2 linked regions of the Kluyveromyces lactis genome follow. The protein of the gene in region 1 interacts with the protein of each later gene in a biochemical or structural test. Links are inferred from orthologs where the notes say so. Each region holds a gene or a part of one and is shown in the gene's direction. Other genes may lie near its edges.

Region 1 (4,047 bases):
CCTTGCATGTTTTCACTTGTCCATCTTTCTGTGTTTCCACAAAAGTCGTTTTCCTTCCTGGAACGGTTTTGGTTGCTACTCCCGGTGTTCTTTAGTACGCTATCTAATTCCCCATTTTTTTTCGTCTACTGTTAAGCATCCAATTATATATATTAACTTATATGATATTCTGGGTGTTTTACGTGGGTTTTCAGCAATGGGATGGATTTTGAGTTATAATTGTTGGTTGGAGAACAAGAAACTGTTTTTTCTTTTCTGGAAAACACTCAATCGCTCCTTTCCTTGTCAAGCGTCATTGATGGAAATACTATCAGATACGTTATTCTTTATCACTTTCTCCTTTTAAATCAGCTTTTTTCTCTCTATTCCAGTAATTTTTTTTTTCACTCAATTAAATATCATTATATCCTTAATTCTATTTCTTATATATTTAAATCTTCTTTAACGCTTCCGTTTGTCGTTTTACATTGTCATTGAACCCTGTTAATATGGGGTGTGTGTACTCTTCCGCACTTGCAGACTGCCAGTTACTAAACGGTTGGGAAACCATCCTTGTTTTATTTTTTCAAATTTTGGCTCATCGTCGATAACTTTCAATATCAAAAGCTCAATTGTAGGCAAATATGATTTCGTTAGATTACTTTCTTTAATACCATCTAATGTCCATACTAGGTTCAGAACGTTGGCAAGGGTCTGTAGTTTCTTCTTGCACTGTGAAGCGCGGTATAGTATTTATTATTTACCAATTCACAATATAATGAGTGACATCTTCTGGATCATGTGATATGAACCTAACATCATTTTATCATATAACATGGCAACATGGCCGAGCGGTTAAGGCGAAAGATTAGAAATCTTTTGGGCTCTGCCCGCGCAGGTTCGAGTCCTGCTGTTGTCGTTATTTTTAACCCCTTCTTCCTTTATTTTTTGACGCGTTGCCATTTCTCATTACCCGGAAAATTATTCCTCTTTCTTTTCCAAAAACGGAAAAGATATTGACGAAAACATCAAATCTCATTTCTCTTTGCCGTATTCTGTTGGTAAAATACAGCTGAAACTCGATTCTGACAAAAATAAACTAGAAGAACCATATCAAGAACGTTTCTATCCCAGAACAGCACTGGTGCCAATGAAACATTAATTTTTAGCACCTTCATTTTAATAATATTATTGCATTTATCGCTCCCTGTTTAAAGGACTTTGCTACTGAAAAACACCATAAGTACCGAATTCAATCATGAGTGATGCTATGAATCAAACAAGTGATGCTGTCTTTACAGACAGAATGCGAAGGTTTCAAGAGTTTTTGGATACCCATTCGCATTATACTCGAGAAATAAGATCAATACTCGAGTTTAACAGCAACGTAGTGAAAGAGAAAAAGACGGATGATGATTATTTAAATACTGCAGACAAAGATACGATGGACCATGACACTAATCAATTGCCATTGAGAATAACAGTATCACTTGACGATTTAAGAGAATTTGACAAAACATTTTGGACTGGACTTTTACAAGTACCCTCGTTCTTTTTACCACCAGCGGAGCGTGCTGTTTCGGAGACTGCAATGGCCTTAGATGATAGCCCTCTCGGGTTTCGCGGATTCCAAAATGATCCCAGCAGACAATGGAGACTGTCATTCAAGGGTTCTTTCGGTCCGAATTCTTTATCACCACGTACCTTAAACTCAACACATTTGAATAAATTGATCTCAGTAGAGGGGATTGTAACGAGAACCTCACTTGTGAGGCCAAAACTTCTCAGATCCGTGCATTATGCCCAAACCACAGGCCATCATCATTACCGTGATTATCGTGATGCGACTACAACATTAACCACATCCGTACCAACACCAGCTATTTATCCAGAGGAGGATCAAGAAGGTAATAAGCTGGTCACAGAGTATGGATTTTGTCATTACATGGATCACCAGCGAATCACCGTTCAAGAAATGCCCGAAAAGGCCCCTCCTGGTCAATTACCAAGATCCATTGACGTTATCTTGGATGATGACTTAGTGGATAAGACAAAACCAGGTGATAGAATTAATATTGTTGGTGTATACAAGTCATTAGGTGCAGGTGGTCTAACAGGTGGTTCTAATAACAACGACAAGGGTAACGGTGCTTTATCTGGTTTCAGAACTGTTGTAATTGGTAACACAGTGTACCCTCTACATGCCAGGTCTACAGGTGTGTCCGCCGTTGAAACGCTATCAGATAATGATATTAGAAATATCAATAAGCTATCAATGCATGATAATATTTTCGACACTTTGTCCCAGTCGTTAGCACCATCCATCTATGGCCATGAACACATTAAGAAAGCCATCCTATTAATGCTTATGGGTGGTGTGGAAAAAAATTTACCCAACGGTTCACATCTAAGAGGTGACATAAATATCCTTATGGTTGGTGATCCATCCACCGCTAAATCTCAAATGCTTAGATTTGTGTTGAACACAGCAGCATTAGCTATTGCCACTACGGGTAGAGGTTCCTCTGGTGTCGGTTTGACAGCAGCCGTCACTACTGATAAAGAAACTGGTGAAAGAAGATTAGAAGCAGGTGCGATGGTGTTGGCAGATCGTGGTATCGTTTGTATCGATGAGTTTGACAAGATGTCCGACGTAGATAGAGTTGCTATCCATGAAGTTATGGAACAACAAACAGTAACAATCGCAAAGGCTGGTATACATACAACATTGAATGCTCGTTGTTCAGTTATCGCAGCTGCAAACCCTGTTTTCGGTCAATATGACGTTAACAAAGATCCACATAAAAATATTGCCCTACCGGATTCTCTATTATCTCGTTTCGATTTACTATTTGTGGTTACGGATGATATCAACGACATCAGAGATAGAGCTATCAGTGAACATGTCTTGAGAACACATAGGTACTTACCTCCTGGATATTTGGAAGGTGAACCTGTTAGAGAGCAAATAAATCTATCATTGGCTGTTGGTGAAGATATCGAAAACGAGGAAGAAGATGATGATGAGGACGTAGTTTTCGAAAAATTCAATCCACTTCTACACGCCGGTGCGAAGCTTGCAAAGAACAGAGGTGATAGCAATGGTAGCGAGCTTCCTCAAATTGTTGCGATACCCTTCATCAGAAAATACATTCAGTATGCAAAAGAGAGAATTATTCCTCAATTGACTCAAGAAGCTGTAGACGTTATCATCAAATCATATTCAAATCTAAGAAACGATCAGAACACCAAGAAATCCCCTATCACGGCAAGAACTCTAGAAACTTTAATCAGATTATCCAGTGCTCATGCCAAGGTAAGGCTTTCAAAGAAAGTAGAACTAGAAGATGCAAAGGTAGCAACACAATTACTAAGATTTGCATTACTAGGTGAGGACGGAGCCAACTTCGACGAACAGGAATTTGCCGAAGGCAGAACAACCGAAAAATCTCCAAGAAAGAAGCCAAGAGCTTCTCCAAGGAAGAAGAGAGGGGCCGTTTACAAAGAAGTTGACTCAGAGGATGCAGAAGAGGACCAGGAAATGGCAGAGACTCAACCGGATCCTGCTGACGGTCTGGAATCTACGATGGTACGGTTAGCACCAGAACAAGAGGAAGACCTTCAAAGAAGACTAGAACAAAACTTGAGAGTGAGTCCGAGACGCCAACTATCAGTCGAAAGAAGAGTACTTTCACAAAGCGACCATCAACAACAGGTTCTCCACCACTCCTCGCAATCCTCAACTGGACCCCTTGAAACTGGCTCTCAATTGGAACCGTCTCATATGACCCTTGATTTTATGTCCATCGAAGAGATGGACCAGGGTTCAATCTCAACCGGTAGGTTATCGTCACTCTCAGGTATTGTTGCAAGACTCATGCAATCAGACATTTTCGAGGAAGAATCGTATCCTGTCGCCGCACTTTTCGAAAGAATTAACGAGCAAGTTCCAGAAGAGGAAAAATTCACTGTTGATGAATACGTTGCTGGTCTAAGGATTATGAGCGATAGAAACAATTTAATGGTCGCGGATGGCAAAGTATGGAGAGTATAATCTTAATTTCATTT
Region 2 (3,206 bases), on another chromosome or scaffold:
TGATCACAGGAAGGGTTTCCTAAGAACTGGATACGACGCAGATTTTGTTATCTTCGACATCAATACCTATCAGACTGTCGACAACGATAAAGTTTATTTCAAAAACAAACTGACAGCCTATGATGGGTTCAAACTGAAAGGTTTAGTGAGAAACACCTATGTTAGAGGAAAATTGGCTTTTGAACTTGACGGCATGGGACATAATAAAAACCCTCCCGGCCAGACAATTCTTGAACGCAGAAGAACATGAAGTACCCCATCTTCTAATCATTTTTTTTTCTTCAATTTTGAATTACCTTTATTTGATGCATGATATACATATTATATATATATCACTTATGATTTAAATTTACCTAGAATATACTTCATTATTATAATTTCTAGAACAGCAATCGTCGGTACAAGAACTATGGAGCAAATTGATATGGTGACCAACCTCGATGCTATTGATTTAACAGTGTGGTGGTTTCTTTCTGCACGTGATTTGTACAGCTTCAAATTTCTTTCCAAGACTTGAAGCTGATCCTCTATTATATTTACAGAATCTTGCAGTGTCCTCACCAGTGAACTATCTATCGTCTCTCCTATCAAACGAGGATCTGCTGGCTTCGGTATCTGATCGAAACATATCTGTACAATGTCTAAATCAACAATCTTAGGATATTCATCACCAATGACACATAACGCATATTCACCAGTATGTTTCGCAGGAAATGTCCATTGCCCTTGCTCTTCGTCATCTTTGTAAATCATAGGATACTCTGTATCGTCCGGAGACCATAATTCATAGCTTACTCTGAAGGCATTGTTTTCTCCCTCTTGTACTGCGAAGTAATAAGATATTTTGCAGTCACTGTCATCAACATCAATGTAAACACATTCTTTCCCATTCTTCTGTAATTGTACCGTTATTGGTGAGCTTTGACAGACAATCACAAGCGAAAATACCCATAACCATGTAAACTTCATATTTAATAAGTTATACATGAAGGTTGCTTTGTGTGTAAATGTCCTTTTATTCGACAATTCCCCTTTTAACGTCCTGTTTCTGTTCATTAATATATGTCATTTCAATGTGAACTACTGCTGTTTGTTATTATATTTGGTTTCGACAATAAAAATGAAAACATCGCCAAAAAATGCATAGAATAAAAGAATCAACGGATATAGCGTATCTGTTCTTGTAGAGTCAAACCAATGGGTATACAGCTCGTCTGTTAGGCTTCATATTAGGTGGCAATATACACACTATAATTATGGATGACATTCCCGCTGAAATCATCCAGGAAATGGATGATTTGTACGATAAGGTACCACAGTTGTCATCCAGATACAAGCTACTGGATAAGATCGGAGAGGGGACCTTTTCATCGGTATATAAAGCTCAAGATCTTAGCAACGTATCTGGAAGGTTATACCCTGATCATTTCTGGGATAAGAATAGTAAACATGTGGCTATCAAGAGGATATACGTGACAAGCTCGCCGAACAGAATTGAAAATGAACTTAAACTCTTAGAGTTACTGTCAAATTCGAATAACGTAGCACCATTATGCGACGCGATTCGATACCAGGATCAGGTGGTTGTCGTCTTGCCCTGGTATCCGCATGAAGAATTCCGGCATTTCTACCGAGACATGCCTATCAAGGGGATAAAGAAGTACATGTTTGAACTTTTAAGCGCCTTGAAATACGTGCACTCATTTGGAATCATTCACAGAGACGTGAAGCCAACCAATTTCCTATACAACCCAATACTTGGGAGAGGTGTGTTAGTAGACTTTGGTTTGGCTGAAGAGAATGAAGAGTTGTACTTGCCTGACCTCAACTATCGTGTGTATGTTAATGACCAGGGAGAGAAGGTTTGTAATTGTTCTTCACCGTATGCTAACAACAAAAAGACATCACATCTGCCGTTGATATCCATTCAGAACGGGCAGCTTAACGTTAGAGGGGCAAATGAATTAAGTGCTGCACAAAGTGAGAATCTCATGAAGGCAGAATTGAGTAAGGGGTACCCAAAACATGAAACTAGGAGGCAGCGTAGAGCTAATAGAGCTGGTACGAGAGGGTTCAGAGCGCCAGAAGTGCTTATGAAATGTTCTTTCCAAACTCAAAAAATTGACATTTGGTCAGTTGGTGTGATACTGTTAAGTTTCATCAGCAGAAGGTTCCCAATCTTTCAAAGCATGGATGATATTGACGCCTTTCTGGAGATATGTTGCATTTTTGGAATCAAGCCCATGCAAGAAGTCGCCAAGTTCCATGGGTTGGGACTAGACATGACAAAGGTTCCAGGTTTCCATTCGGAAGGATATCCTGGGGGGCTACAAGGTTTTGTGAGAGCTTTACTTGACAAAGAAGTGGAGGAAGGAACATTACCAGAGTATTCCATAGCGTTCGAGACGTTGGATTATTTGACACAATTTGACAAACAACTCACGCCAAGTTTAGGCCCAGACGATGAAGAGGATATTGATGATAAAATACGGAGCTACAAACAAGCAGTTTGGGACGATCATTTTTGGTGTTTTGATCTCTTGGCAAAATGTTTCGAACTCAATTCATACAAAAGACCCAGCGCCAGTGATCTTCTTGAACATTTATGGTTCAAAGAACTGAACGAAGATTTACTTGATAGAGATCAAAGAAGAGAAGATCACTTCACCGGGGTCGTTGAGTAATGAAATCCAGAACGAAACAAAAATATTTGACGAAAATTAGCATATATTCACCGCAATAACTTAGAGCAGAACTCATTTTTTATATACATGCATTCATATATAGAGTTCTTTAACCGATAGAGTAATTTAATACTTTGCATTCATCATCATTATTATATTTAGTTTACAAACGTTGCCAACGCTTTGACGGCATAAGTTAGAGAACAAGTGCGTAAATAAACGAGTAAAACAGCGTTATTCACTTAAGAGAGAATGCTATAATACCCCAAGTCAAATATGTATGTGGTGATAGTAATTGGTGAATTCAGAACAAGAATGGGATCAAGAATGCTCTCTTGGTACCATATTTCTTGTTTTTCTTTTGAGCCCACAAGTACATCTGAACCACCGAGACAACAAGGAAAAGAACTGAGAATAAGTTCAACTTGAACAACAAAGTGAAAAACATCCAAGCCCAAGATTCAAAAGTGTAATTTGGAGCGACAAGTAGTTTGAACAACCCAGAATTCAATGGGACTCTCT

Evidence for each region.
Region 2: of the proteins of MCM3 (region 1) and CDC7, one has a biochemical effect on the other in vitro, tested with the Saccharomyces cerevisiae proteins (2 studies listed by BioGRID). The link is inferred for Kluyveromyces lactis from reciprocal best matches to the Saccharomyces cerevisiae genes MCM3 and CDC7.

What each region holds. Positions count from the first base shown.
Region 1 is NC_006041.1:1,980,038-1,984,084, forward strand, and holds MCM3 (MCM DNA helicase complex subunit MCM3), read left to right. Parts: upstream 1-1,237; coding exon 1,238-4,033; downstream 4,034-4,047. UniProt on the Saccharomyces cerevisiae protein: Acts as a component of the MCM2-7 complex (MCM complex) which is the putative replicative helicase essential for 'once per cell cycle' DNA replication initiation and elongation in eukaryotic cells.
Region 2 is NC_006039.1:396,643-399,848, forward strand, and holds CDC7 (serine/threonine protein kinase CDC7), read left to right. Parts: upstream 1-1,256; coding exon 1,257-2,684; downstream 2,685-3,206. Other genes in the region: DAL1 (allantoinase), read left to right, coding at 1-250; ERP3 (Erp3p), read right to left, coding at 337-1,056; trans-2-enoyl-CoA reductase (NADPH) TSC13, read right to left, coding at 2,989-3,206. UniProt on the Saccharomyces cerevisiae protein: Serine/threonine-protein kinase. Needed for the initiation of DNA synthesis during mitosis as well as for synaptonemal complex formation and commitment to recombination during meiosis. Required for HTA1-HTB1 locus transcription repression.